Ovis aries: one gene and its partners. The protein of the gene in region 1 interacts with the protein of each later gene in a pairwise test. Links are inferred from orthologs where the notes say so. Each region holds a gene or a part of one and is shown on either strand. Other genes may lie near its edges. The genes, in order: CHD3, YAE1, SERBP1, PTN, IMMT, SIRT6 and HABP4.

What was found.
Region 2: the proteins of CHD3 (region 1) and YAE1 interact in a two-hybrid assay, tested with the Homo sapiens proteins (2 studies listed by BioGRID and IntAct). The link is inferred for Ovis aries from reciprocal best matches to the Homo sapiens genes CHD3 and YAE1.
Region 3: the proteins of CHD3 (region 1) and SERBP1 interact in binary tests that used the Homo sapiens proteins (3 or more experiments, as listed by UniProt). The link is inferred for Ovis aries from reciprocal best matches to the Homo sapiens genes CHD3 and SERBP1.
Region 4: the proteins of CHD3 (region 1) and PTN interact in a two-hybrid assay, tested with the Homo sapiens proteins (2 studies listed by BioGRID and IntAct). The link is inferred for Ovis aries from reciprocal best matches to the Homo sapiens genes CHD3 and PTN.
Region 5: the proteins of CHD3 (region 1) and IMMT interact in a two-hybrid assay, tested with the Homo sapiens proteins (2 studies listed by BioGRID and IntAct). The link is inferred for Ovis aries from reciprocal best matches to the Homo sapiens genes CHD3 and IMMT.
Region 6: the proteins of CHD3 (region 1) and SIRT6 interact in a two-hybrid assay, tested with the Homo sapiens proteins (2 studies listed by BioGRID and IntAct). The link is inferred for Ovis aries from reciprocal best matches to the Homo sapiens genes CHD3 and SIRT6.
Region 7: the proteins of CHD3 (region 1) and HABP4 interact in a two-hybrid assay, tested with the Homo sapiens proteins (3 studies listed by BioGRID and IntAct). The link is inferred for Ovis aries from reciprocal best matches to the Homo sapiens genes CHD3 and HABP4.

The regions. Positions count from the first base shown.
Region 1 is NC_056064.1:27,395,488-27,399,616, reverse strand, and holds part of CHD3 (chromodomain-helicase-DNA-binding protein 3), read right to left. Parts: intron 3,725-4,129; coding exon 3,513-3,724; intron 2,795-3,512; coding exon 2,663-2,794; intron 2,307-2,662; coding exon 2,207-2,306; intron 1,816-2,206; coding exon 1,624-1,815; intron 1,470-1,623; coding exon 1,269-1,469; intron 900-1,268; coding exon 762-899; intron 504-761; coding exon 382-503; intron 225-381; coding exon 51-224; intron 1-50.
Region 2 is NC_056057.1:82,948,207-82,952,966, forward strand, and holds the start of YAE1 (protein YAE1 homolog), read right to left. Parts: upstream 3,285-4,760; 5' UTR 3,264-3,284; coding exon 3,060-3,263; intron 1,714-3,059; coding exon 1,592-1,713; intron 1-1,591. UniProt on the Homo sapiens protein: The complex LTO1:YAE1 functions as a target specific adapter that probably recruits apo-ABCE1 to the cytosolic iron-sulfur protein assembly (CIA) complex machinery. May be required for biogenesis of the large ribosomal subunit and initiation of translation.
Region 3 is NC_056054.1:43,069,833-43,074,650, reverse strand, and holds the start of SERBP1 (SERPINE1 mRNA-binding protein 1), read left to right. Parts: upstream 1-1,562; 5' UTR 1,563-1,648; coding exon 1,649-1,961; intron 1,962-4,818. UniProt on the Homo sapiens protein: Ribosome-binding protein that promotes ribosome hibernation, a process during which ribosomes are stabilized in an inactive state and preserved from proteasomal degradation.
Region 4 is NC_056057.1:102,353,201-102,357,329, forward strand, and holds part of PTN (pleiotrophin), read right to left. Parts: intron 2,635-4,129; 5' UTR 2,634-2,634; coding exon 2,519-2,633; intron 1,400-2,518; coding exon 1,226-1,399; intron 1-1,225.
Region 5 is NC_056056.1:58,067,015-58,071,143, reverse strand, and holds part of IMMT (MICOS complex subunit MIC60), read left to right. Parts: intron 1-3,572; coding exon 3,573-3,676; intron 3,677-4,129. UniProt on the Homo sapiens protein: Component of the MICOS complex, a large protein complex of the mitochondrial inner membrane that plays crucial roles in the maintenance of crista junctions, inner membrane architecture, and formation of contact sites to the outer membrane.
Region 6 is NC_056058.1:17,667,334-17,670,793, reverse strand, and holds the end of SIRT6 (NAD-dependent protein deacylase sirtuin-6), read right to left. Parts: intron 3,389-3,460; coding exon 3,329-3,388; intron 2,806-3,328; coding exon 2,710-2,805; intron 2,633-2,709; coding exon 2,552-2,632; intron 1,990-2,551; coding exon 1,866-1,989; intron 1,781-1,865; coding exon 1,439-1,780; 3' UTR 858-1,438; downstream 1-857. UniProt on the Homo sapiens protein: NAD-dependent protein deacetylase, deacylase and mono-ADP-ribosyltransferase that plays an essential role in DNA damage repair, telomere maintenance, metabolic homeostasis, inflammation, tumorigenesis and aging.
Region 7 is NC_056055.1:29,718,325-29,723,151, forward strand, and holds the start of HABP4 (intracellular hyaluronan-binding protein 4), read right to left. Parts: upstream 2,953-4,827; 5' UTR 2,852-2,952; coding exon 2,491-2,851; intron 1-2,490. UniProt on the Homo sapiens protein: Ribosome-binding protein that promotes ribosome hibernation, a process during which ribosomes are stabilized in an inactive state and preserved from proteasomal degradation.

The DNA of each region.
Region 1 (4,129 bases):
TTGTTACCACATCTTCAACCCTGGTTCAGGGAACCCGCTTGGCATCTCACTTCTGCATGGGGCTCAGCTCCACGCGAACGATGAGCTCTGTTTTGGCTGGCATGTTCTTAAAGACATCTGCCTTGAGCCTCCGCAGCATGTGTGGCCCCAGCAAGTCATGAAGTTTCTTAATTTGGTCTTCTTTGGATATGTCAGCAAACTCCTCCAGGAAGCCCTCCAGGTTGCTAGTAGCCAGAAGGAAATTAAACCACGAACGGGCATTAGGTTCTTTGCCCCTGACCTCAGGCTCTAGTCTTCACTTAAGATGACTCCTCACCCACTCCTTTTCTCAGCTCCTCCACCTCTCCTCTCTGCAGACCACCCTCCTGAGCCACCACTTACTTAAACCTCTCTGGGGTGAGGAAGTTCAGTAGATGGAAGAGCTCCTCCAGATTATTCTGCAATGGAGTCCCTGTCAGCAGCAACTTATGATCTATCTTGTAGCCATTGAGGACCCTGAAAAACTAGAAAATGGGGCAAGGAAAAGCAGGAGAAAGGGTCCATCAGTGGCAAGCAGCTGGCCCTTGGCTCTTCCTGCCTCCAGCTCCTACTTCCTTCAGGATCAGAGGCCCTCAGACCCCTAATTCTGTCCTGCTTCCAAGCTGGACTTCTCCCTGCACTGCCTCCGGGGCTGCTCAAAGTCCCCCAAGCTTTGTCTTTTAGGATGGGGGCAAGTAGAAGTCCAGAGCCTCAAGTTTCTGAGGCCTGGGTACCTCACTCACCTTGGACTGGTTGTTCTTGAGCCGATGGGCCTCATCCACCACGAGACAGGCCCAGCGGATGGAGCCGAGAGCTGCCTGATCAATGGTGATCAGCTCATATGATGTCAGGAGAACATGGAACTTCACCTGTGCCTCCCTCTGTTGACACAACCATGGTCCCTGTGGCTGCCAGCCTGCACCCGAGCATCTAGACCCCCACCCCTGTTCTCTACCCAGACACCCTGTCCTGAGACTCCCAAAGGCAGTTGGTAGTCCAGGCCTCCAACCTTGACTCCATTCAGGGACTACAGGATGTGGCCCTCAAGCTTCCCCCACCTGTCCAGTTTGAAGAGATCCATGAGTGCCCCAGGGAATAACCTGCTACATCTCCAGTACTGGAGAGCAGAGGCATGAGGGAAGGTGGGGGAAGGAGGGAGAAAGCTGAATGGGGAATATAAGAAAGTTCTGGTTGGGCCAATGAAATGACAGATCTGAGGACTTCAGAGGGCATGAGGTGGGGAGTCTGACCTTCATCTTAAAAGCTTTCTTGCCACCTTTGATGGCGTTGTCTTCAAAGGAAAACTCATTCTCACGAATGATGGCTCGGCTGTCCTTGTCACCCGTGTATGTTACTACATAGAACTTGGGTGCCCACATCTGGAACTCCCGCTCCCAGTTGATGATGGTGGACAGCGGGGCACTCACCAGGAAGGGACCCTTTGTGTGGCCCTGGGAGTGGGAGGTGGGGAGAGGGAGCCCCATTAGTTGAGGCTTGCAGTTGTACACCCCACTCCACTGCCTGCCATGCCCCTCCCCTAGTCCTCTGCCCTCACCCTCCACTCCCACCTTCCCCAGTCCAGGCTAGGGCCCTAGGAGCCAGCACCTCCTTATAGAGTGAGTAGAGGAAGACGATGGTTTGTATGGTCTTGCCCAGCCCCATTTCATCAGCCAGAATGGTATCAGTGCCCTGGGCCCATGAGAAGCGTAGCCAGTTCAATCCCTCCAGCTGATACATGTGTAGTGTGCCTCCTGTGGCTGTGATGAAGCGTGGCTGAGTCTCATATTTCACTGTAGGCTGTAGAATCAAATCAGAAAGCTCAGGGGAACCAGCAGCCACTCATCTGGTCCTGGTCTCCTCCCCGTCCCTGGCATTGGTATCAAGTGGGATTGTGAGTCCCTCTCCTCTGGCCTGAGCTTATGAAAGTTCTAGTCTGCAGTGCCTCCCCCTCATTCTTTGAATCAAGACCTGGGAGTACTGCAGGGAAGGAAATGGCAAAAGAGGCCTGTGTACAGCTGTCTCTGGAGACTCTCATTCCTGTGCGCAAGTCCCCAGTAAACCTAGGGCAAAGCTAACTGAAGGAAGAGCTCAAAGAAGCTGTGGAATCTCTGGGATCTGTCAGAAGCTCCCAGGAAGTTTTCAACCCTGAGGCTCCAGAAATGACAGATAGGCCAAGTGGAGGACTTACATCGTTAGTAGGAGAACTGGGAGGCCCATCACCCTGCAGCTCCTTCTTCTTCTTCTTATACTTGCGGGGCTGAGCAGGATCCTCCCCCATAATTAGTTCTCTGGGAAAAGAGTGGGTCTGAGTGAGACTGATGCCTTGGGACCCCTGTCTTCTGAAGCAATTCCAGACCTACTTCCCACTTTCCATAATCTGGATTTTCATACATTTCCTTGCTCCCAGGTTCTTTAGCCTCACCCTTGGATTTCAGCTCTAGAGACCATCCTCCCCACTCCTCAGCATCCTCTTCCCCATGAGTCAGGCTAGATCTTATCTCTGTTCCTCACACTGCCTCTTTATGGACCCCACTGCAAACAACCCAGCCCCAGATCCCATTACTCTAAATTCTAGACTGAGTCTGCACCTCATTTAATGCCCCCACCGTCAGACGCCCTCTAACTCACGATCTGCTTCACTCACCGGTGTCTCCAGTAGCTCTGCTTGTGGTCTTCATATTCAGGGATGTTCATTTCATCTTCCTCCCATGTGGACTGGTCATAGGGTAAGTCCCTCCATTTCACTAGATAGTGGTAATTCCCCTTTTTATCCACACTGTGAAGAGGGAAGCCAGAAGAGGAGGCAGGAGGAGAAAAATAATATGTGTCACAAGTAGAAAAGAGTCATAACAAACACAATTATCAGTTAACACACAGAATTTGTCACCTAATCCTCAATGGTGGGCCTCTGAAAGCGAGTTTAGAAGGCTGAAGGACTACCCTAACTTTTTCCAGATGACTTCCTAAAAATCAACTATCACAAAACATCCCCAACTTTAACGTCATTTGTTCATCCAATCAATATTTACTAAGCATCTACTACATGCCAGGCATGGTTCCAGGCATAGGTGATTCAGCAGAACTAGGCAGACAAATGACTGATTTCCATGGAGCTCACATGCTACCAGAGAAGACCATGATGAAACAGAAAAATAAAAAGACAGTAAAACATTGGTAATGATAAGTACTATGAAGACAGAAGTACTAGAAACATTGGTCTGTATAAGTCATGTTTTGCTTTTATCACATCCAAATCCCCAGATTCCTGTGTCATTTCTTAAGCTGTTCGAGATTAGAGGAAGCAAGGACAAAGGTGTCCGTGCTGGGCTGGACTTTTCTCCTGGTTTCTCCCACCTCCATAGAGGAAACAAAGCCAGAGAGGCTGGGGCTGTGGTGGGAATTACCCAGTTAGATCAATTATCTAACGTGGGGCCATCATGCAACAAGAACAGTGACAAAACCCAGGTCGGCCTTCCCGTGGACCAAGGGCTCACCTGTGGTTGATGATCCGGTGGACGGTCATCCACTCTGGCTTGATGCCAAAACGATAGTACTTCTCCTCCATCTCGGCATAGTGCGGGTCCTTCACCTTGCGCTTGTCACTCTTGCCGTCGTCCTCACCAGAGCCATAGTCCAGGGGTGGGGGCTCATCCATGTCATTCTTCCGTTGGTAGTTTCGGTACATCACCAAGTGGAAGATTTCCAGCTGGCGGGGCACAGAGGAGGGAAGAGATAGTCCCGACATTCTGAGGGGACACAAGGAGCCGGGGCAGTGGCCGGCAGGGGTAATGGTATGGGAAAATGAGCCATGGGAGCGGTGGGATGAAGGACACAGAGAGTTAAAGTCAAAGCAAGAAAATGAGTAACATGCAAGAGAACGGAGTCCGAGACAGGACCTGAGTGGGGAGGTAATAAGTAAAATGAGGAAGGAACAGGTTATTAAGACTGGGGATGTCGGTAAAACATGGTTAAGATAGATAAAGGGAAGAGATGGGAATTAAGGCAGGCTAAGGAAGGCTCCATTACGCCTCAGGGGAGGAATCTAACAGAGACTGAGGGAATGACAACTGGAGACCAGGAGACCCAAGTACGGAAGCTAAGAGAGCTGGTA
Region 2 (4,760 bases), on another chromosome or scaffold:
TCGATTTTCCCTGATTTTATTTTCCCCTTATGATTGTGTAGCTTCTGTTGAAGATGGATACAACTCAAGAGAAAGAAAAGACCTGAAAAAATAGTTTTTCTTTTAAAGGCAGAAACCAGCTTCTAAACTAGTGTTTCTCAATCTTGGATGCACATCAGAATTACCTGCAAAACTTTTAAACCTTATCAAGGTCCAGGTCACACCTGAGACCAATTAAATCAGAATCTCTGGGGGTGTTATTTTTTTAAAAGCTTCCCAGCTGATAACAAGGTGTAACCAAGGTTAAAAATCACTGTTATAACCGTATAGCTGCTTGACATCAAAACTGAAGGTGAGGGGAAAAAAAGTTTTGAGACAACTCACTTTTCCAACTTTGTTAGATACTTTACTAACAATTTTATTGAAGGAGGTTAGAATTCTTCCAGTCTTAATAATTATTTTTCTTTACTTTTTTTTAGTATAGATAGTACTTTTACTTTCCTACATTCATATTATTCATCTCACGAAATAATGGTTATTGTGAAAAGTAATAATGTTAGCAATAAGGTTTTTTTTTTTTGCCATGTCACACAGCTTGTGGTAACTTAGTTCCCAGACCAGGGACTGAACGCAGGCCTCGAAAATAAAAACATGAAGTCCAAATCCACTGCATTGCCAGCAGATACCCTGCAATAAGTTTTCTAAGCTTATAAAAAATTAATTTAACTTGATGTGAAGATGAACACATGATCATTTTCTTACTATAGTATACTATAAATGCTGATTCCTGACAGCTGAATTTTATAAAACCTCAAATGTAATGAACTTTTGTATTGATAACTTTTTTCTAATTTTATTTTTAATTTTTATTTTTTTCTTGGCTGTGCCATCTTATGGCATGTGGGATCTTCATCTCCTGATAAGAGATCAAACTTGCATCCCCTGCATTGAAAGTGCAGAGTCTTAACTACTAGACTGCCAGGGAAGTCTCTGTCCTGTTAACTTTTATTGCATACCTTGTAAAAATCAGTGATTCTTTGAAGCATTTATGTTTTTCTCTATAGAGGACAGGTTAAAAGGTACAAAGCATCAAAGAGGACAAGCATGCCATGCTCGTAGCTCCATGTGCCTTTGGACCACTTGGTTCTAATACATGCCATTATTCCTATGACATCCTGACAGGTGTTCAACGTTCAGAAACAAAGTAAATGGAATACTTTTTCTGTTACTAGCTATACTCTTCATCAGGTATCGCTAGTCTAGACATCTGTTTTATTGTGTTCTGCCACATGTGCAAGAATAAAAACGTTACCCAAAACCTGAAGATTTTTTCAATTACTTTGAGATACAGATTGGTGGTAGTTCAGGTAGCAAAAAAGAAGACACCTTTGTATCATTTCTTTGCAATAAAAGATAACATCTGGCTCACATATTAAAGTGGATAACTGCTGACTTTTTGAAGGCAATTTTAGTCTATGCTCTGCAGTACCCTTTCATGGCTTTAACACTAGGGGAAGCAGTTCAGCTTACACTTTCTTACATATTACTTTCATCAAAACCCTCCACTAGTACAAAGGTTAAAATAATTCAGCATTTAAGTTTTAAAAATTACCTCAATGTTCCTCTAAGTTGTCCATAGTTTATGATGACTTCTGCACCTTCCTTATAACCTTGATTGAAGCCTTGTTGAAGAGTAACTGCTTTGCCAGCATCTATTCCATCTCTGTAGCCTTCCTAAATATAAGTAATGAAGAATTACAGTTGTAACTTAACACCAAGTAAACCAGTGTAGATTTTTCTAGAAAGTCACAGAACCAATTTAGAAACTGATGAAACAGGCCTCTATTGTGTTATTTAACATCATGGTTCTATAACATATGGCATAATCACACAACCAAAGTAGACTATGCTTCTCATAAAAGTTTATTGTTGGCTTATCCCATTTTTGTAGTCTAGATTTATTGGACACATTTTAAAATATTGATTCTACATATATACAAAAAAAAAAAAAATCCGTGTTAGCAATAGCTCCACAGAAAGGAAACATGGAGAATTAGGTGTCTGGTCCTTTAGAAACTGGATTGGTGTGAGTGGATAAGGCAGGGCAGGGTTACCAAGGTCTTGGAACTGGAGTAGGGAAAGAGGAAATTGGTATAGTAAAAGGAAGATGAGAGGGCTGGTTTTAGAAATTCTGCTTGATTTAGAAATTTTCCTTAATTTAAGTAAACTGAAAATCCTCTGTGCCCAAGGATTTTGTCCTGCCACAACACTCAAAAGGTGCTCAATATTTACTGGTTTAGCCCCAGCTTCACATAAGGCATTTCTGAAGTTGACAACATTGTTGTTGTGCTAAGCAAATATTATTTTACTGAGACATTAAACAAGGGCAGACTTAATGGCAATTTAATGGTTGGCAAGGACACTAGCAGGCACAGATCTCATCATTTGGTCCTCACCCTGAACTAAGCTCTGAAAGCTCCACCTGGAAATGGTGTGCGGTATTAAGCTGAGACTCAGTGAAGAGTCAGACAAATTAGATATGGATAATTCACACCCAACAAATTAAAAAAATACATTAATACTCCCTTAGGTAGCCACCACCATTCCTTTATTTTGTTCAGTCGCTCAGCCTTGTCTGACTCTGTGACTCCATTCCTTATTAGCTTTCTCTTACTGCCCTCTGACAGCATTCTTAAGTTCACTTTTTCCATCTGTCCTGATTAACACTACTCCTAACTTTAGGCTCCCCACTCATTCAAGCAACCCATGTCAACTGCCTACATGTCCTTTGACAGACATAATTAGAACAGTGTAAATGTTTCTCCTCCACCCCTTTTCCTCTGATGCCCATCAAACTGAAATCTCTTCAAAGTCTTTGACAAAGGTTATATTTTTCGGTCCCCGGTGTCCATCCAACACACTCCACGGGCGCTCGAGGAAAGCATCCTGTGGTGTAGCACGGTTTCAAGTAACCCACTGGGAAACTCTAGCAGGACATGGGCCAGACTGAATGGTACGGGAGAGGGAGGGCAGCGCCAGGCCAGGTCGCGACCACTCCGGCCTTCATCCTGGGACCCCACCTTCTCACAACTCCCAGCTCCAGCGCTAACAACCCGGTACAGCAACGGACCCCCGCCCTCTCCACGCAGCTTTACTTTGACTCGTCTCTGCATATGGCTCTGCCATTCCCGCTGCACCAGGAGCGACTCATCAGCTTCCTCGTCAAACACGTCCCCCTCCTCTTCAGGACCTTGGACCAAAGAAGCAGCTTGAACCCACGACATCACTGAGGCAACCACCGGGCTGCCGGACGCCGGAAGGGCCGGCAACTCCTTCCGGTCCGAGGGGCGGAGCGAAGACAGACTGCGGAGCTCGCGGCACCGCTGCGCGTGCGCGTAGATGTGCGTGGTGTCTGAACGCTGTGACCGGTTCACGGAGTGGTCACCGGTCCCAGGAAGGTCCTGGTTTCCCCTCGAGGCTTTTGCTCCCTGATATTTGGAAGTACCCATAACTAAGCTGGAAATGTCGCCGTGCACTTGTGGGCCAGGCGGAGCCCCTCTGACCTTGATTGCGGAAGGCAGCGCCAGCATTCAGTGAAACACTGTGCTCTTCTACCGTGGTGTCTGCTGGGGTCTGGGTTTTGAAGACGCGTGCATTGGCAAAACCCTTTGAGGTAGTTCTTTTGAGGCACTCCGTCATTCCCTAGTGGCTCAGATGGTAAATCATCCGCCTTACAATGCGGGAGACCGAGGTTCAATCCCTGGGTCAGGAGGATCCCTGGAGAAGGAAATAGCAACCCACTCCAGTACTCTTGCCTGGAAAATCCCATGGACAGAGGAGCCTGGTAGGCTACAGTCCATGGATTGCAAAGAGTCGGACACGACTGAGCTTTCTTTCTTTCAGTGCATTTAAAGGTTTGGACTGCCCGACTGTTTCAATTGTTAGGAGCGTGGAACAAAGGACATTAAAGAAGTTAAAATATTGCAGCCCTATTGAGATCAGTAAATATAGAGAGCGTTTATGAAACGAAATATATTTCTCATTGATTCACAGCATCCTTGTCTGACTCCTGTTCCTTCTGAAATGCCAGAAAAGACCACTGGTGAGGATGGAGACTTGTCTTTATATAAGACCCACAGAGATGTTATGGGGAGGGAGGTGGGAGGGGGGTTCATGTTTGGGAACGCATGTAAGAATTAAAGATTTTAAAAGTAAAAAAATAAAAAAATTAAAAAATTAAAAAAAAAAAATTCAGCACCGGCACTGTTCCGAATTGTAGTAGGTGTTGAAACAAAAGTTAATGAATGAGTAGATACCATCAGTATTCCTGTTTGGCCCTTTGCGTACTCATGTGGTAGTGTGTGTTCATAGCTCAGTCCTGTGTGACTCTGCAAGCCCACAGACTGTAGCTCTACAGGCTCCTTTGTGCATTGAATTCTCCAGGGAAGAATTCTGGAATGGGTAGCCATTCCCTCTTCCAAGGGATCTCCCCTACCCAGGGTCTCCTGCGTTGCAGGCGGATTCTTTACAGTTTGAGCCACCAGGGAAGCCCATGTGGTAATGATGATTTACTTAGCTAACAAATTTTCTTGAATATTTGCCTTGTGCCAGGCACTGTTATATGCTTTTGAGATACATCAGTGAACAACACACAGAAGTCCCAGCTCTGACATTCATGAGGAATTGCCAGAGGATAAGTAATAAACACTATATAAGTAAATTATACCGTTTGTTACAAGATTATGATACATGCTATGGAAAAATATTTAGAAACAAGCAAA
Region 3 (4,818 bases), on another chromosome or scaffold:
CGAGCCCATTTTTTGCATGAAATGTTCCCTTGGTATCTCTAATTTTCTTGAAGAGATCTCTAGTCTTTCCCATTCTGTTGTTTTCCTCTATTTCTTTGCATTGATCGCTGAAGAAGGCTTTCTTATCTCTTCTTGCTATTCTTTGGAACTCTGCATTCAGATGCTTATATCTTTCCTTTTGTCCTTTGCTTTTCACTTCTCTTCAACAACATTTAAATCTTATTAAATACTGGAAATTAATTTATATTGATTCATTTCTATCAGAAGGCAGAGTCTGGATTAAAAAATTGATGTCAGGTGTCTCACAGTGGAGTTAGAAGACTGGAGTTAACTCCTGGCACTTAAACTGTTACAGACGTGAACTTGATTAAGTTATTTCAAATAGGAAATGGTTTCACCTGTGAAAAGGGAAAATTATTTACCTAATAAGTTGTTGTCGTCATTAAGGTTATTCATAGTACCTGGAACATGGAGATGCATTTTCTATATTCTGGTTAATAGGAAAAGGTTTAAAAATTATAATACATTCACCCTCACCGTGTTACCAAATATGCTTGAATATGCATGACACCCTTTTAATGGACTTTAATATTCTCAGCTAATACCAATGAGAATTAAAGACAATTCTCTGACATATTTCTCTCCCCTCACTGCACCTCTTAGCACATCACACATTCAGATGCTCTTCAGATAACATTTTAATGTTATTTCTTGAGTACCTTTTACTAACACCCAATCCTTGACTTGCCTGGCACTAATGTCAGCCTAGGCTCCATAAAGTGTTTCTACAAACAATGCCTTTTGGAGGCTTTCCCAGTGTCTGGCTAGTGCTACACCGCCAGGAGTTAACAATTAAAGCACCGGTCGCAAGACGGCACTTCTCATCCAAGAAAAGCGCGCAACACTCACTTTGCTAGTTCAACTTGTCTTTTGGATTAATTCTGCTGCTAGAGTTCAAGTGGCCGCGAGAAGAAGCGTATTCCGCCTCACATTAAACAGAGACGCTTCGATTCATTATTAGGGCTGCAGGAGGGCAACTGCAGCAACTGGGCAACTAGGGATTTGGAAGAGAGCGGGTTCCACTTCCGCGAGGCCAGTGCAATCTGCCAGCCCTGGAAGTTTGTGAGTCTCCACTTGTAAGACTGATAGTCACCTTGACCCTCCCGGAGAGGTGGGGAAAGTTAGTCCTGGGCCGGAGACGGGGAGTAAAACCGAAGACTGAGAACTTTCGCGAGCAAAACACGCCGTCACGTTTTCCTGTTTTCAGCGCAGCAGGAGACGCCGAGAGTTTAAGGGCGGCGATAGCAGGTGGCAGGACTCCGCCTACCACCGCGCTTCTCCCTCAGCTTGCACACCCCTCTCCCTCAGTGAGGACTCGCCTCTGAGGCGCGCGCGAAGAGTTGTTCAGCCGTGTATTCTGGGAGTTGTAGTCCTGGTGCCGGGAGCCGCCTCAGGAAAAGCGACTCTGGCCTACAGACCCCGTGGTACCGTGCGGCGCTGGCCGCTCCCGGATGTGTGCCTAGCGCCGGAAGAGAAGACAGCCCCCCTCTCTCGGCCCGGCCATCTTGTGGGAAGAGCTGAAGCAGGCGCTCTTGGCTCGGCGCGGCCCGCTGCAATCCGTGGAGGAACGCGCCGCCGAGCCACCATCATGCCTGGGCACTTACAGGAAGGCTTCGGCTGCGTGGTCACCAACCGATTCGACCAGTTATTTGACGACGAATCGGATCCCTTCGAGGTGTTGAAGGCAGCAGAGAACAAGAAAAAAGAAGCCGGCGGGGGCGGCGTTGGGGGCCCTGGGGCCAAGAGCGCAGCTCAGGCCGCAGCTCAGACCAACTCCAATGCGGCGGGCAAACAGCTGCGTAAAGAGTCCCAGAAAGACCGCAAGAACCCGCTGCCCCCCAGCGTCGGCGTGGTTGACAAGAAGGAGGAGACGCAGCCGCCTGTGGCGCTTAAGAAAGAAGGTAAAGCAGTGGTAGAAGGTGGGAGACACCCGGGATGGAGGGAAGGAGCGAGGAGACTTGCGGCTAACACTCGCTTCTGGGGCTCCGAGGGTTCGCGGGAGACTTGGCCACTGATATCCCGGCGTTTCCCTCAACGCGACAAAAGCCAGGTCCTGCGAAGGTGTTGGGAGCGTGTTAAGCCCAAGTTCAAACCGCCACCTGCAAGGATACTGGAACCACCCCTTCCCGCCTCAGGTCTGAGCCGAGAAGCGTGGTCGGGATCCTGGGAGGCTGCTGCCTTCCCGCCGGATTCCTTGGCGGGCGAGCGCATGGACCGAGGCTCGGTGAAGGGAGCCACTCCTCGGAGCACTTGTAGTGAAGCGGACAGCGGGGGCTCCGCGGCTTCTTCCTGCTCAGAGCTGCCCCCTCAGTCTGCTGCTCTGAGGTGAGGTTGTCTCCTTCAGGCTACTCTCTTGCCATCTTGTCCCAGGATGGCGCGGGGTACGCCCGAAAAAGAGGGTCGAGTTTTCTGCCCGCGCGCACACCTCTCCGCAGGCATGTTCGAACCGCTCGGATATTGTGGGAAAAGCTGCCCTTTTAGGTGCACACGTGCTTTATTGTCCACCCCTCGCCCCCTCAACTATTACAAACTTAATAACTTGCTGGAGTGACTCAAGCTGTTGGGAGAGGAATTTAGCCCCTCGGGATTGACCAGAAGCGGGAATTCTGAATGAAAACGTGTTGGCAGGAAATCCTGAAACTCGTTCTCGAGTCAAGATCTTTTTATCTACCCCGTCGAACCCCCGCGGACCCACCTCCCCACTGCACGCAGTGTTTCGTGTGGTGTGCCCCTGGCGCGAGCCTCGTGGCTGTCACAGCGGTAGCCACCGCTGAGTCCTTTTGAGTCTATGGCTTTTTCTCCCCATGTGCGTGAAGCGTGGTCGGGATTTCATTGGCGGGTAGTAGCTGCTTCCAGGTCATTGTAAACTTCGCGGGATTGCCTTGAACTTGGTGTTTGCACTCTCCCTCATTGCTGGTTTCTCTTTGGTGGTGGGTGAAAAAGCATAGCAGTGAGGAGTAAGGAAAAATCTTACAGATCCGAAGTAAGTAGGTGTAGGACCTAAGTTCTGAATCGTAGAGATTACCTCTGTGTGTTGAAAGTTGAAATTTTGCCACGTGCTTCAGAAAGGAGTTCTGAGCTTTAGTTGAATTTGATAGCTAGCGTTCAGCTAATTTGAAAATGAAAACAATTGTGTTAGGTTTTGGTTTAGAATTTTTAAGAAATAGAACGTTTTGAGGCTTGGGATGAAGAACCTAGGTGGTAAATAAAACAATTATATTAAAATTACAGGTTGGAGAGGGAAGCACACGTTGGAGTATTAGCATGCATCTTTGAGGCTAAATACTCGGCTAATCTTTATAGCAGGCTCTATAGGCTGTAGCACAATGTAATAAATCGTTTAATTTCTATGTTAAGGAACACTGACTTGTGTAGTCATTTAAACTGTGCTCAAGTTTACCTCCTGTATCGCTAATTCAAAGAAGGTACATGAAAAAATGGAATCTGAAATGTGTTCACTCGTTTTGAATGTTCAAAACATGAGGTGTGCTTTAAACCCCTCAGTTTGATCATAAAGTCCGTTTATGAAATAAACTTTTACCTGGAACCTAGTATTTTAAATTATAAAGTTATTTCATAAATTTATGAGCAGGATTACGTTTACCATTCAGTAGTCAAATTCAATAATTTCCATTATTAGCTATCAACATTTTCCTTAGGTCAGCATTTCAGAGGACACTTAGGCTTAAATTGCATAAAACACAGGTTATAAAAATGTTGAATGAAAAAAGTTCATTTTGAGAGCCTACTATGTAGCAATCATTTCTGGGCATTGGGGAAGTATAGACCTGTAAACAAAAGTCCTGGACTCTTGTAGTAGGAGGGATTGTTAACCTGATCATGTGTTCTGTGCCTTTGAATAGGGGTCCTGGCACAATCAGATATGCTTTAGGTAGGTATTTACTGTTTATATTCTATGAATTTTGTAGTTTATCTTTTGCCCACTTGAGGAATTTGAGAATGGACACCACTGAACATCGCTAAGGTCTATTCTTGTTTGTTTTTTCAATGTTGAAAGCCTGGAATATAGTGAAAAATCTAGAGACACATTTTTAAATGTCAGTTGCTGCGTGGATTTATTTGTGTTTTAGATTCTGTAAGCCTGATAACTGAATATTGGAGTGTGGAAGCAAGCCATTGTTCATCTGGGTGTGTGAGGCTTGGATATTATAAGAACTGGTTCTGTAGCTCCACCCCATACACTCACTACCTCTGAAGAAATTTTTTTAAATGCCTCGGTGTAAGGTCTAATGTTTGTGTCCTGTCCTGAGAGTTTATGTGGAACGGACCTTAAAATTTCAGAGTTTGACGTTTACCATTTGACTGCAAGCAACTGAACAGTTGGGTGCATCTTGGTGGCGGTACACTTTCTTAGAAGCAGAGTGAACCAACTTAATATCTTGTGAAATCAATTCCTCAGGTGACTGTCAGAAATTGTGGTTTTGGAATTAGAGCATACCTAAAATTTTACAGTCATAAATTTAACCATCAGTCTACGTATTATCCTTAAGGCCACCATGGGGCCTTTCGGCCTTTGACACAAACAGAAAAAAGGTAAGGAAGAGGGAAATCAGTAAATGCTTCAGCCATCATTTAGTGTCACAAGTTTCTGTTTCTTACATCTTGCTTAATTTGTGTATGTGGTTTTTAAAGATTTTTTGAAAACATAATTGTAAGGGCAAACCAAAAAAAATTTCTCCATAATAATTGCTTCTGGTTGCATAACAATGTGTTTTAAAACCAGGTGTAGTATGTATG
Region 4 (4,129 bases), on another chromosome or scaffold:
TAGTGATGCCTCATTGGTTTTCATTTTTATTTTCATCATGGAGAAAAGATGCTGAACATCTTTTCACATGTTTGTTTGCCACCTAGGTATCCTCTTTAGTAAAATGATTGTTTATGTCTTTTGCCCAATTTCTAATTGGATTGCTAGTTTTGAGAGCTCTTTATATATTCTAGACATTTATATATATAAGACCTTTAAACCACATTTTTAAGACATTTTATGTATAGATCTTTAGTTATATACAATTTAAGATCAAACTTATCTGAATTTCACTATGCCTTTATAGACTTTACCTCCACTTATGTAAAGTTATAACCCCAAAGGTTACAGAGAATGAAAAAGATGTAGTGTATGTATCCATTACCCTTCTTCACTGTCCAGTAGGCCAAAACACATTTCTGTAACCGAGTGAGAATACTTAGGGCATTGTGTCCCACTATGGCAAGAAAGACAAGTCTAGAACGGGGGGGGGGGGGTGCAGAAACAACAGGCAATTTTGGTGTTCAATGGTGGGTTTAGGGTCAAAAGTGTTGAAAGACTCCTTCTCAGACTGGGAGACGAGGTCAGCATGAAACTGGCAATAGTCACTGAGCTAAAATCTAACAGTGGCTCAGAGCAGTCCATCTGGGTTTGGTGAGTAAAGAGCTATGAACCAGTGTGGCAAGTGGGGAGGGAGCAAGAGAAAGAGAGAAGGCCCAGAAGTAACAGAGAGAGAGAGAGATCTGGAGAAGGAGGAGACTAAATAAGAAAAGAGGAAGGGAAGATAAAAGGATCTAGAAATAGAAGGACAGAACACACTGTTAAGAGGGACCGAGGGCCTATTTTCTGTCCCTGCTGCTAAGGCAGTGGTCTCAATCAGGGACTACTCTGACCCTCTGCCCCCGCCCTGAAAGGAAACGTGAAGCAACATCTGGATACTTGCAGCTGTCACAGTTGTTGAGGTGGGGAGTGCCACCAGAAACTAGTGGGTAAAGGTCAGGACTGCAGCTAAATATCCTATGCACAGAGCAGCCCTCCCTCCAGGACAAGAAAACTATCTGGTTCCAGATTCTAGCAGTACGCAAAACGAGGGACCCGAGGTTGGGCGAGATGCCAGGTTATCTTGTATTTGATAAAATAAACTTGTTAAAATAGAGTCAACCTCAAAAAGATACCCGATGGAAGGATGCAAGAATTATCTCAGGGTGGAAGATTAAATCAATAGGACAGTAAGGGTGGGACTCACCGCCAAATTGCTTTTTCCAGTTGCAGGGGATCTTACATCTCTGGGTCTTCATGGTTTGTTTACACTCAGCTCCGGTACGGGTGCCCTCACGGGTGCCCAGCCCACAGTCCCCACTGGTGGGTACACACACACTCCACTGCCATTCTCCACAGTCAGACTTCTTCACCTTCTTTTCTGAAAGGGAAGAAGGAAAAATTATCAACGCTCAGAAAACTCTTCAACTCCTGGATAAAACCAAGTTCATTCCTGAGCTCCTTAATTGCATGGCCTGTGATTTTACCTCTCTCTTCAGTGTCTAGGACAGAGTAGAAACTCGGTAAGTGTTAGCTGAATGAATGACTGAATCAACCAATGACCAGGAGAAGTCAGAAAGAAAACTAGGGAGCTAGAACTAATATTGATTTAATTCTTACTATGTGCCAGGGACTGCGCTAAGTGGTTTACTGACACACCTCCTTTTGGAAGCAAATGTTGCTGAAAAAGAGAAGATGATCAAAGTCAAGTTAAATCTAAACAATAGGAAAATAGTCTATGAAAATTAACGATTGTCAGATTAGTCATTCCAATGTATGTCAATGCTTCTTTCTCTGTTTTATAGATGGAGTGGTGGTTGTGGTTTAGTCACTAAGTTGTTTCCGACTCTTGCGCCCTCACAGGCCTGCCAGGCTCCTGTCCATCGGATTCTCCAGGCAAGAATACTGGAGTGGGTTGCCATTTCCTTCTCCATGGGATCTTCCTGACCCAGGGATCAAAACCAGGTCTCCTGTATTGCAGGCAGATTCTTTACCAACTGAGCTATGAGGGAAGCCCATAGATGGAGTAACATAAACTAAATGTGGTAGACCACAGACGTAACAGAGTCTCAGCTCCACAGCCAACTTATGACATTGCAAGTGACATGGAAAAGGTGCTTTATTCCTGCTAAGATTCAGTTTCCTCCTTTGTTCATGAGATAAAACAAAATTTGCTTCCAGGACTCTTTTCGAAGAAGAATATCAACATAAATTAAACATTTGATTGCCAATCAATTTTCTGAATGATGTAGCTGTTAATAATTATTATTTCAATTAATAGTTAATGGTCACCATCTATATTTCAGGACTTAGAGTGGGGGGATGGGATAACAGGGGATATCACTTAGGTGTTCCTCTACATACTTGGAAGAAAGGAAAGTGGGAAAAAGGGAAAGAACGAAAAAAGAGGGGGAAGGAAGGAGAAAAGACAAAAAAGCAAGCAGCTGGATTAGATAGATATTAATCAATGAAGACTCTTGTTCATAACCATATTGCTCACCTGGTTTCTCTTTCTTTCCTGCTTCAGTGGTGCCCACAGCTGCCAAGATGAAAATAAATGCCAAGAAGGCAGCTGCAAATTTTCGACGTTGCTGCAGGTACTGTGGAGTCTGCATTCTAAGAATAAACAGAGAAATGGAGAAGGTGGTGTCAACCTAAGTCAAAGAAAGCTCGCTGAACTTCTTGATGAAGGACTCCAGTTTCCATTTCTGAAATATCAGATTTTAGGAAGATTTATATCAATTATATGGAGCAGAGTTCAATCTTTTCTCCAACAGCCACTGAAGTAACTGCTCTTCTGCAATCAGGCATGTATTCACTGATAAAATACAACAGTCCTTCACATAAGACTTCACACAACCATTTGCTAAGTATGACTCAAGAGCAATGGAAGCAAAAGAATTTTGATGGTATGCATTGGAACAGACTCCTACAGTAAGTCCTACTGATAGTGACACTTGGTAATGGCAATGACTGTAGTTATCCTTATAACTCCTGATGATTCCTAAAAACAACCATGGTGTTTTCATCCATGCATATAATGTGAGCGGACACATGAATAGATTAGCTGTGCAAGTATATGTTTGCTGTTATCTTCAGATGCATCCGTAATGATCAATACCTCTCATTTTGTTTTATCATTTCCATGATCATGATTGTCTTATCATCATAGTTGTATTATTCATTGATCCACTGAAAAGTGAAGCCCAAAACAGAAGCAGAGCTAACACACCTTCAATATACAGCAAAAACACTTCTAAACTCAAATGTACTGAAAATCCTCCAAATTCTAGAATGGAGTAAAGGGTTTACATTTACTCATAATTTGAAATCTCCACATTTGATATCAACAAAAAAATATCCCAGGACAGCATTAGCAAGACTGCCCTAGAACTTGAAGTCACTTGTGACAGCATCATGTCAACATGATCGCCTTGCCAAGCATACTGGGGAAGGCGCCAGGACAAGTGCCAGGACAGCCCACTTCTTGAAGCTATACCAAGTCATTGGCTGCAGTAACTCACCTGGTAGTCATTGGTCTCCATCTAGTATGTTCCTGATATTCTATACTTCATATAAAAATGATAGTAATGGCATTGGCTCATTAACTCAGAATTTCTCTTCCAGAAGTGTAGACTGTTTACATGATTTTACATTCTCATGAATGTAAACAATAAAACTTCACATATATAAGGGACTAAGATCACTCTGTTCTGTAATTTCCTTTCTTCATTCAAGCCTATCTATAAAATGATATCCTTATCAGTGAATTTTTCTCCCTTTCTGTAACACTGGAAATGCCCATTTTACTGCTTTTTAGTTAATGACTTTGGATTCCATTATCTGGATGAATATTTCATATTCATCATTTAAAGTTAATATTTTGATCATTTGGTCCTTTCCCTGAATCATAAGTCCTAATTAGCAACTCAGCATCTCCATCACTTTCTAAAATCTAAAATTACATGCTTTTACTTTCTCTAAATGTGTATATATATATATATATATATATATATATATATATATATATATATTAGAAAGAGAAGACGACCTGAAGAGCCTCTTGATGAAAGTGAAAGAGGAGAGTGAAAAAGTTGACATAAAGCTCAAC
Region 5 (4,129 bases), on another chromosome or scaffold:
ATCTTGACATCAAGTCATTTAAAGAATAAAATAGAGAACCTAATAAATCTCAGGGATCAGGATTCTGCATCATCAATAAAGTTATTTTGCCATCATGACTGAGGTTTTTAAAAGTTAAATACACTTTACATTGCTTTAGGCATATGCACATATATCACAAAGCAGTTAAATTATACTTCTGTTGCAAACAGCCAAGAAACTACAGCCTTGGAAAAATTAAAAGAAGATTCTATTTATTTAAAGTCCAAGAACAAAGCTTAAATCTTAAAAGTTCATTCTAAGAAACCACACAGGGAATATTTAATATACTGATTATATACATGTGAGAAAGCTCAAAGTTGCATGATATCAGGAAGTTGAGTGTGAACCCAAGTTCTTTCAGAAGGACAGTGATTAGAAACTTTAAAATGTCAATGGTATTACTTTGGTGGAAGGCTATACATAAGAGGGTATTTCCTCTCCCCACTGAACATATAACATGTGGTGCATGTCGCTTGAACAGTACAAAATCTATTATAATTTAGATTTTACAACTAAAGGATACCTTATAGTATAAGTTAACCAGATTAGGCAAAGTTAGCTGGTGTTAACAAAATAATCCAGAAAAATGTACGAGCACAAGTTTTGGAATGTTAAAAATTGATCCCAACTTTGTTTCTTCTAGTAAAAAGCTGTAGGTGCATGTAGGCTCACTCTATAATATATACTGAGTTACTTTCTAAAAGGCAGTGCCTGTAAACAGTTGGACCAGAGGATTGTAGGGGAATCTGGTGTCTGTTTTATAGGACAGCTTATCTTTGGATCTCTACAAGTGGAGGGAGATCCATTTTGGCCCCCAGATATGTTATTGACACTTAACATGATTCATGAGTCTATTTGGGTTAGTTACGAAGAGTTATCCTAGTATGATATCAAGGTCTTGTAACAGCATACAGTAAGGTCTTGTAAAATTTTTTGCACATGACAAGATACTGACATGGCCCAAACCAGCATCCTTTCTTTTTTTTTGTTAGTAATTGAAAAAACTTATTTATTTTTGGCTGTGCTAGGTCTCTTTTGCTGTCCAGGCTTTTCTCTAGTTGTGGCAAGCAGGGACTGCACTCTAGTTGTGGTGTGTGGGCTTCTGTTTGCAGTGGCTTCTCTTGTTGTAGAGCTTGGGCTCTAGGGCGTGCAGGCTTCAGTAGTTACAGCCCAGGGGCTCAGTAGTTGGTAGCTCCTGGGCTCTGGAGCACAGGCTTAGTAGTTGTGGCCCATGGGCTTAGTTGTTCCGAGGCGTGATCTTCCCAGACCGGGGATCGAACCTGTGTCCCTGAATTGGCAGGTGGATTCTTAACTGCTGGACCACCAGAGAAACCCCAGCATGCTTTCTTGATATATTTTATTTTGCAGGATGGATAGAGTGGTAGTTTACCTAAACCTCAACTTGATTATTTGCACCATGAAATAACTTTGTTTTGTTACTTTACAACAATCTATGTAAAACATAAAAAGTTCAAAAGTGAGATACAAAGGTAAAAAAGTACCAGGTATTTCTTCTAAAAGCAGTTCTTAACCTAGGGTCAAGTCTGGATAGAATTCAGGGGCTCATTAAACTTGGATGGAAAATATCTTTATTTTCACTAGCCTCAAAAGCTTTTCCTTCATTTATTTATATTGACAACAAAAGCAGTAGTGTTAGTAGTATTCATAACTTTATTACCAAGAGAGAGCGCAAGTATTTTCCTATCACATTATGGGTACTTACAGACTGTTGAAATATCATTTATGCTCATCACTACTTCTAGATTAGAGTATTTATTAGTCCTGCCACTAAATCTTGGTTTGTGTGTCAAAGAATTAAAAAATACATATTTTTTAATCAAATTTCAGTGTAATTGGGCTCCTTTGTAATCTCGTAGTTTCATTTTAAGCATTTAAAAATGTTATTCAGAGAGGCTTCCTCAGACTGTCACAGTGGTCCAGTGGCCAGGTTAATCCTGCCTTAAGGAACTTGGTTGTTTAAACTTTCTGTTGATAATGAATATACCTTTAAAATGAAGATCACACTTGATGTCAAGGGGAACGCATAAGGTTGAGAATTGCTTGTGAATGATCCAAAGCAGAGGCATTACTGAGTCCTCTTCCCCTTCAAGTAGCAGGCCTGGGGCTCAGAGGCAAAACCACTTGTGTTTCTGACAGTGGAAGACACAGGATGGTCATCCAAGGCCCAGGACACCTAACTCAGAGGGCACTCATGTTTTGGGTGTGCAGCAGCCCTTGCAGTGACTCTCTTTGGTGACTTGTGAACTATAATTATTGAACTACTGTAGTCATTTTTTCCTTGACAATAAATATTTTATTTTCTGATAATTTAATATGTTCCTGTTTTTCACCAAGGTCCTGGTATAGTGTATAGTCACGCATCAGTATGTACAGGGGATTTGGGTCTAGTATCAGCCAGGGATACCACAGTTCAGGGATGCTCAATTCTCATAATTGGCCCTTCTGCATCTGAGGATTGAGCCAGCTATCTATTGTGTAGTACTCTGCTGAAAGAAGATCTTCATATAAGTGGTCCCGTGCAGTTTAGACCTGTGTTGTTAAATGGTCAGCTGTACTTTAAAGATAAGCCCTAAGGTGGTTTTGTCATATCTAAACATAATACACTACTTTAACCTATATCTGCTTGGCAAAGGAAAGGGAGAAGGAAATGTCATTTAAAATAGTTAATAACTAATTTTAAAAGTAGTTTTAAAGAGTTGAAACTTGCAGATAGCATCTTGCTCATTGTTTATGTGATGCAGAGTGAGGGGGAGGATGGAAGCTGGACTCATCTGTGCCACACCTTCAGTTGCAAGGGTGCTTACACGTCTCTTGTGTGAGCCTCTTGCTTCATAGAGTGTGATTATTCTGCTAGAGGTGGCTTTTGTTTTTGGTATGATACATGCCGTAAATATGAGCCAGCTCTGCTCAGCTGAAGAAGGTGGCAGTCAGTTCCAATGCTGGAGCAAAAAATGTTGAACCTGCCTTAAGGAATTTCCAAGGGAGACATTTGTATGAAGTCCACATTGTGTAAAACCAGCTCAAAGTGGAGTGGTGTTCTTGACAAGACTTGATTTTCTCCTTAAAGATTATGGAGAGTCATTCTTGGGGGTAATGTTTTGGGGAAGTAGAAACCCCACAAGTGTGTAAACTTTTTATTATACTTACTAATATTTCAGTAGACCTGCAAGTAAGAAAATTTTAAGTACTGATGCTTCATTGAAGAAAGATTTAATTCACAGACAGTTCGTGACAAGTTGTTCTTATTCATCTTTTCTGCTTCATATCTCCTTTTGAGAATCTAGTAAAAATATTCTCTCTCCTTATAGTATACTTGTGCACTGGAACACACTCTTACAGTTTTGGTGGGTTGGTTGATGGGAGATGATTCATGGACTTCTTTGAACCTCTCATGAACATTAGATTAAGAGTTCCTGTTTGGGAGGAATGTTATATATACTTTTTTAACCTTTGACTTTCTGTATTTAGTCGTGTTATTGTGACAGTACTAATGTTTATTCATGTGTTCATAACTAAAGCTTTTTGTTTAGATTGCAGGTGACAAGAAATCAGCTCAGTGGCGCACAGTGGAGGGTGCATTGAAGGAACGCAGAAAGGCAGTAGATGAGGCTGCTGATGCCCTTCTCAAAGCCAAGTAATTACTCATGGACTTTGACAAGTAATTAGGGCCTCCTGGTGGCTTTCTTTTGGCTCTGTTTTCTTTGTACTGTCTACATAGAAAGAGGAGGCAGAGAAACCCTTCCCTTCTCCACCTATACTGTATTTTGGTTTTAGGAACATGAAAATTTAAAAGGAAGAGAGAGAATAGAATATATAATCTGGCCAAAATAAATGTGGCAGAAACTTACTTAACAATTTTGTATTTTATTTGCAGTATTACTTAGGTGATATGTCTATGGTTTACAGAGATTCTGCCATTATTTCAAGGTTTTTCTGGGATGGGTTGAGCAGTTTTATAAGAATTTAAGGAGTGTGTCACACTCTCTTTGCCTTAACTACCAAAGTAGTTAGCATATAATAGGTCTAGTTTTATGCTACCTTGACCTTGATTCCTGAAAGTTGGCTAAAACTAGAATCAAGCAAGCAA
Region 6 (3,460 bases), on another chromosome or scaffold:
CCCAGAGCACGGGGTGAGTCCTAAACTTCTGCGCTGCCATGACCCACAACCTTTTCCTTTTTTTAGACTGCCGTGATCCTTAATAAAGTATCTTGGCAGAACACGGCTAGCGTGGAGGTGGAGTGGGGTGGGGGCTAATTAGAGTCTGAAGCTCCCCAACCCACAGAAGGAAGGACTGGGCCAGCCGAAGATAGAGGAGTGACGTGGGGGAGTCCCTGGACCCCAAGGCTGGATCGGCGACGAGAGGCGCCAGGGTTGTCTTCAGGACCTTGGAGAGCGGCGGCTGATGGAGGGCTGGGCGCGCCAGGAGCGCGAGGTTCTGACGGCTCTGGCCCCTCCCCGCCCCGCCCCAGACCCTTCAAGAGAGTCCGCGGAAGGCCTGGGGCAGCTGCTTTCCTGGGGGGCTAGGCTGCCAACCCGGCTTGTCTTATGGATGAGGAGACTGAACCGTCAGGAATGAAGGGACTCGCCCAAGGTCACAGCTGGGGAGCATGGACCCCAGCTGCACCAACGCTCTTCCTTTAGAGTCACACCCGGATCCCTGCCGGCTTTGCGCAGGTGTGGGGATGTGGGGTCGGGTGGGGGAATTTGCAATCGCGATTAGATGTGGCCTCTCTCCTAGAGGGGCTCACAGCCTAGTAGCAGAGGGCACGGATTAAAGAATCACAGAAACAATATTTACAAATGGAGGACTCAAGGAATGTCAACAGCTGGTAAGCCCTTCCTTCACCGCCGGGCCTGGACTGTATGAATGTCCCAGCACACACACACATATCAGGGGCCGCGAGCACCACACAGTCCTACCCCCAGGGATTGGACCCTGGGCAAGGTTGTGGATGGTAAACACAGACTCAAGATGCAAGAAAGTCTGCTTTTATTGCATTGAAGGCTTTTCTGGAAGCCTGGAGGAAGTCAGGTGGACCCACTTGCCTCCTTCCAGCCACAAAGGCAGTGTGAACCTCTGTTGTCTGTCCTGCCATGAAGTTTGGCTCCTAAATGGTGGCTGTGTGTCCCCTCCCTCCTAGAGGGGCTGTGAAGGCTGTGTGGGGATAGGCAGGGGCTGGGGAGTGTGAGGGTCCAGGGGGCAGACAGGCTTGATTCCTGTTTAGGTTGGAAATCAGGGAGGGCCTGGTCACGCCTCCCAAGAACACCCTGAGTCAGGGGCTGGAGACGGGGTGGAGCAGGTGTGGGGTTGTCAGCTCCAAGTTCAGAATCTGGGGCAGAGATGCTCCTTGCCAAGCCCCCTCCATAGGCCCCAAGTTAAAGGGAGGTCCAGTGGACGGCAAGTCTGCCCCTGGGCCTGGAGCCCAGCTCTCAGCACCCTGAGGTCTCCCCCAAAGGACAGAAATGAGTAACAAAGTGAGACTGGTAAGAAAAAAGAAAAAGAACCCACGGTTTCTATTAAAAAAAAAAAACCCGCCCTCCCCGGGGCCCCTGGTCAGCTAGGAACCACCTCTGTTTTCACTCTTTTGGGAGGCCTGTGAGGGGCAGGGCTGTCCGGCTGCTCCCTTTTGGGGCTGGTGGGTCCGGAACCATTGTGCTGGGTGCAGGGCTCAGCTGTGGGTTCCTGCTTGGGGCTGGCGGGCACTGGGCTGTCGAGCTGGGGGGAGGCCTCCTCCTTGGGCTCCAGCTTGGGGGCAGGTGGGCGTGGCAGGGGCGGCAGTGCCCTCTCCACCACGTGGGGGCCGTCCCAGGCCGGGATCTCCAGGCCCAGGTGTTTCATGAGCCGCGTCATGACCTCATCAACATAACCGTGGATTCGCAGGTCTGCGTGGCGGTCCTGTGGAGGCGGGGAACAGTCAGGTGGAGGGAGAAGGCTTGAGGGGGGTCCAGGGGTGATATCAGGGATAGGCTTCCACACGTACATGCTTGGTGGGCTGAAGGTTGACGATAACCAGGCGACCTCCACGGCGCTTGGTGGCGAGGGGAAGGTTCCCGCTGGGCCGGATTTGCAGGGAGGTGCCCAGTGTGATGGACAGGTCTGCACTCCTGGGGCCAGGAGGCAGGATTAGTTTAAGCCCCTTGGCAAGGATCTCTGCAGCCCTCCTCCTGCCCCACGAGGCAAGGGCGTGTGGTGGCCAGCACATACACTCCCTGACCCTTGCTCAAACACCATGGCTTCACTGCTCTGCCAACACAACGGGGCCAGTCCCGGGAGACCTGCTCACACAGCACCCACCTCTGCTGGGGGCCCAGCCATGGCCTGCCTCTGACACTTCCCTTCTGCTGGGCCACCCCTCAACCCTGTCAGCAGAAGTGGAGCTGCTAGTGGGGAACTCCTGGGTTCTGATTCTGGCTCAGTCACTTCTGGGCTGGGCAGCCTGGATGGAGGAGTCCAGTTGCTCCAGCCTCAGTTTCCTCCTCTGTAAAATAGGCCTGAGCAGCACCCACCCTGGGATGTGGTGAGGATGGTATGTGAGGGCTCGGCACAAGAGCTATTATGAGCAAAGCAAGGCCCAGACGGTGCTGATCACTCCTTTCGGGGCTGGAGCTGGCTGTGTTTCTGCCCCTCCCCCCCCCCCCACCCACCCGGGACCCACTGGGGTCAGACCTGCTGGCCTCGTCGGCCAAGGTGAGGTCCCGGTCAGGCAGGGAATCCTCCCAGTCCAGGATAGTGTCTCTCAGCTCCCCCCTGTAGGGAGGGCGGGGGAGTTAGCAGGAGACTGGTGGCCTCCCCTGGGGTCCAGGGCATGGGGAGGGGTCACTCACCTGCAGGCCCGCAGTCCCCTGGACTTGGCCACGGTGCAGAGCCGGCCCGTGGGTTTTAGGCCCATGCTTCCCACCACGGTGTCCCGGACATACTGCCTGTGCCGAGGAGGAAAGGGTCGGCTCACCGCTGGTTTCCAGGCAGCCCACCTGGGCAGCTCATGCAAAAAGCACACAGAGCTGTTTTTCCAGGAAAGTGCGGGAGCGTAAGACCAGAATCTAAACATGAGGTGACAGCTGGCAAATGCAGCAGGGGCTGGGGATGGGGAAGCAGAGGGGGCCTTCCATGAAAAAGCTGGCCTGGGGACTTCCCTGGTAGGTTAGTGGTTAAGACTCTGTAGAAGGAGAATGGTTCTGCCAACACCTTGATGTTGGACTTGTAGCTTCCAGACCCATAAGACTATGAATTTCTGTTGTTTTTAAGTTACTCAGGTTTGTGGTTGTCTCGGCAGCTGCAGGAAATAAACACACCTCCCAGGAGGAAGATACACGCCCAGATCCCACCGTGGAAGGGCCACACCCTTGACTCTAGAAGTGGCAGGCTTAGTCACCAGGACCTTTTCGGGAGCCCGACCTGGGTTATCCATGACTTGTGTCCCGCCCCTCCCGCAGTGGCACTCACGTCTTACACTTGACACATTCTTCTACAAACATGTTTCCGTGGAGCTCTGCCAGCTTGTCTCTGTGGAAGGAGAAGGAAGAGGCTCAGTGGAGGAGCAGGATCCCCAGATCCCCAGCCAGCCAAGATCCAGAG
Region 7 (4,827 bases), on another chromosome or scaffold:
TAGTCATTCTGTGCTGGATCAGCAGCTCCAAGTGGATAATGCAAACACTGAATTTTACTAGCCCTTTCGAAATAAAAGGCTGGCATATGCAATCTGATCACTGATCTAACCCCAGCCCACATAAAGAGACAGAATACTGTAAAATTTACAGTACGATTTCCCTGAAATAAAGTTGAGCTTTGACTTGGAGAAGTTCTGAAAAGCCAGGAATAGCAAAGCTGAAACAGCCTCTGAAGAATTAAGAATAAATTTTTTGAGTAACGGTCTATATTGTTAAATAGTGAGGGATATTAAAAATCTATTTCTATGGGAAAATCTTATGATTTTCACATCCTTTTGTGACTGTTTGTTAATATGTCAAACTTGTTTTGACTTTGACTCTTGTCTACACTAAGCATTCACTTTTAATAGCCAAATAAACTTAAAAAATTTTAGTGTTAGAGAAGTACAGTCCATATCAATTAGGGTTACAAAACCTTAAGAGGGTAGCTCTCTAACACCCATTACAGATAAATTCAGTACAGTAACTGCACAAATGAAAATTAATGAGCTGTTTGCTCCTAAAATAACACACTTGAAAAAGAACTAGAACTACAAAACTTCCATTCTAACTACAAAATTAACTAAAGTTCTTTAATACAGATCTCAAAAACCAGATCACCTGGATTATAAACAATTGACAGAAAAAGTTATTAGCATACTACATTATAATGCGATGTTTATTTATTATGCTAAATGCAGGCTGCAACTGAGTTTATAACATCTGAAATTTAGGGGAAAAAAAGAAGTAGCTCTGTGCATTTATATGTGTAAATACAAAGTGTTAACAGTAAGAAAAGTATGCATTTTCACTTTACTTCATACACTTCTGAATTGTTTAAAATACAACAAAAATGCATGACAATTTTACTAGTAAAAAGGTTAAAAAGCAATATATTAACAGAGAAAACTAAATTCTGTTTCTCATGAAAAGATAATACATATTTTCACTTGTTAAAAAATAAAGCTTAGCCTGTCCAATTATTTTATTACTATGATATTTATCTAAATAGATTTAAGAGAAAAATAGAACATATACAAAATGTACAATATATCTCAAGTCTCACTCACTGTTTAAATAGGCTTATATATGTACTTGCCTATCAAGAAATCTTGGGATATCTCAACGGCACTTAAAATAATTGTCAATATTATAATGACTTAATTTTCTGATTCTCAAGAGATATTGCTGGATTGAACTCTGCACAGATAGAGGTAAACATTACCTAGCTGCAGAAGTCAGGGCACCAACACTCAAGTCAGGAATTATTCTCTCAGGACTGGGCTGACAATTTTTATCAAGTAAGCAAGGAACAAGCCAGTAAAGCCGAGTTGAATACACTCCCAAACACTGGCTGGAGTGGTCGAATCATGCATCTTAAAACTTTTTTCTGAAACCTTAGGACCACTATTTTATTTTTGGAAAACAGAGGAAACACAGGTGGAATCTTGGAGGCTTTACCACTGAAGCAGTTCAGGTGAGAAACGACTCTTCAGCACCATCCATGCCTAGATGCAGTCAATAGTACACCAAGCTTTGCACCGGCCATTCTGGCTAAGCAGGGAGTGGGGAACTTTGCATATTCTTGTTGAAAAGGTTAAAAACGCTTTTCTTAAAGCAGCCTGAGTTAATGACAAGTTACACAAGCCATCAACACTACTTGCTGTATTGAAAACCCGTGCGGGGTGACTGTTGTAAGCCACCGCAAGGGAGGTGGATGGGTGAAGGCACAGAGCTTGGAAGGCGCTGGGGACCCCGCGTCAACCCCCGCCGCATTCTGCTCGGGGCCCTGACGTCACAGCCCACCCCCGCGGTCACCCAGGCCTTCCCTCCATCACAGAGGCCCTAGCTCCTCACCCCGGCGATCCTTTCACACACCCCGAGTTCTCGCCGCCACCCCCAGGGGCCGGGTGCGCCCTCCTCCATTCTCCCTAAGAGGCACTCCCCTCCCTCCTTTCCACGACGCTTCTTTTCGCCTCCCGACGCGAATCTTGCAGAGGTTCGGCTGGAGGATGGAGAAGGTCCCTGCTAGTTTTAGATCTGAGAGCCCTCGGGCAACGACCCCAGTGTTCACCCTCATACACCACCCAAGAAATATCCCTCAACTTTGCCCAACTTGTAAAGGCTCAGTCCCACCGTTCAGAAACCCCCTACTCCAAGCCTGCACTCTCCTTCGCTCCCAGAAGGGACTGGGAAAGGCCAGAAGGGGCGTGACACTCCCCCTACCCTGTCCTTTTTCCCACCTTCCTCAGCCACTGGGACCCTCAACTTCGGTCAACTCTTCCCAGCGCCCCCTTCCCTTTCTGGAACAGGTTCCAGCGACCCCAGTCTCGCAGTAGCAGGTCCTGGGGCAGCCGAGGAGGAGTGACCTCCATGACCCCATTCTCCTTCCCCTCCCCGCCCACCGCGCCCACCCTGGGACACCCAGGTGCTGGGCTGGGCGCGCGTACCGGGCGGCTGCGGGCCGCCCCCTGGGCTATCTGGCTGTTGCGAGCTGGGGGCCGGGAGGCTCTTGCGCTCCTTCTGGGACTCCCTCCGGCCGCCGCCCGCGCCGGGTCTGTGGCCCGAGGCCCCAGCCGGGCTCCTGCCGCCGCGGTTGCCAGCCCCGGCCGCCGCCGCCGCCGCCTCGTCGCGCCTCTTGCGCTGCAGCTGCTGCTGGCGCCGGCGTTCGGCCTCGCGCAGGATGTCGAACGGGTCAGACTCATCGTCTAGCAGCTGGTGGAAGCGGTTGGCCACGACGCAGCCGAAACTCTCCTGCATCGCGGCGCCTGCGGCAGCCGCAGCCACAGGACTTCCCAGAGCGCCCTTCATGCCGCCGCGGCCACTGCGGGCCCGCCGCGGGCAGCCCACGCGAGCGAGTCTTAGCGAAGCCGGCGATGAGGACCCATCCTACCCGCAGCTACTGCCCTCCCAACCCTGCCCTGCCCAGTCCCGTCCCTCCCAGCGCCCGCCCCCGCACAGCCGCCGCCGCCGCCCGCCTAGCTGCTTCCCACCAGCCAATCAGCGCACGAGGGCACGCCCCCTTTCCTAGCCGGCACGCCTGGAAGCCCAATCAGAGGCCGGCTGCTGTCACGTCAGGCGACCTCTATGCCCCGCCCCACGACTCAGCAGGGAGGGGCTGGACCCAAGGGGCGGAGCTGCTGGGAGGAGCAACGAATCTTGTGGTCCAGGCTGCTGGGCCATGCTGGTGGGTCACGGCCGTCATTTGTGTTTTCTCTGAGACTGGGTCCACATTTATCATCTTCCACTCTTCTTTGAAGTGTATATATTGATTCGACAACTATATAATGTACACTTACTATGTGCCAGGTGTTATGTTGTAGGAGATACTAGCTCCCTGTTTCGGAAGATCTTAGTCTTAAGGCAGAAAAGTGCCCTGAAGGAAAGGCACAGACTTCTCTATGACCTACTTAAGAAGCTTGGAGAGGCTTTCCCGCGGGAATGACGGTTAAGCTGAGATATGAAGGATAGCAAGGGCCAGGAGTAATGGCAAGTGCACAAGTCTGAGGTGGGGTGGAAAGCTCAAAGAAAACCAGTTAAATGAATTGCTAAGAGTTGGGGAGCTGGCATCACTGATGCGATGGACATGAGTTTGAGTTGGCTCCAGGAGTTGGTGATAGACAGGGAAGCCTGGTGTGCTGAAGTCCGTGGGGTCTCAAAGAATCAGACACGACTGAGCGACTGAACTGACTGAAGAGTTGCTGCTGCTGCTGCTGCTGCTGGTGGTGGTGCTGGTAAGTATCTTAAGTCGTGTCCGACTCTGTGCGACCCCATAGACAGCAGCCCACCAGGCTCCTCTGTCCCCGGGATTCTCCAGGCAAAAACACTGGAGTGGGCTGCCGTTTCCTTCTCTAATGCATGTATGCATGCTAAGTCGCTTCAGTCGCGTACGACTCTGTGCGACCCCGTGTAGATCAGCCCCCAGGCTCCCCTGTCCACGGGATTATCTAGGCAGGAATACTGGAGTGGGTTGCCATTTCCTTCTCCAGACTGAAGAGTTGGGGAAGAGCCTTATTTTGGTCTTTATTCCAGGAGCAGCAGGAAGCAAATTTTAAGCATGAGCATGTGTTTAAAAAGGCCACCTTAGCTGTAATGTGAAGAACTATGTTGGTGGGAGGTCAAATTAGATGCAGGGAAATCAAGCTGAAGATTCCTACAGAGCTACATGGAAAAGGTGATGATAAACACTTGGAGTAGGATACTGTCAGTGGAGGTGAAAAGAGTAGTAGATCCAAGAGCTATTTTGGAGGTTATATCAACAGGACTCGATGATGGACTAGATACAGCTGGTGAGGAAAAAGAATTTGATGACTCCTGTTTTTCTGGCTCTTACAACTGGAATGGTGGTGTTATTCACAAAGAAATCATTAGAAGAGACCACTTTGATGAGACTCACAAGTGCAGTCTTGGACATGTTGAGATTTAAGGTTTTTGTTTTTGTTTTGTTTGTTTGGTTGGTTGTTTTATTCAGTTGAGGCCTTGAAGTTCAGAGGAGAACATGAATTAGACTTTCTCCAGGAATTCTTGCTTAGGCACTCATGGAGACACTTTTCTACACTGCCTATATTACAACTCTTCCTTTCCCTCTTACACTTTCCCAGAAATGTGTTTTGTTGGTGCATCAGGTAGCTGTTTGCCCCATTTGGGAACTTGGCCCTTTTCTAGCCTCAGACTTGATTAATCTTAAATCACTCTTTGTACTGCCATTCCCCTACCATGATTGCTGTAGGAATAGGCTTTTGGTGCAAATCTGGCCGAACAGACCTGAGGGGAAGTATTCTGGAGAA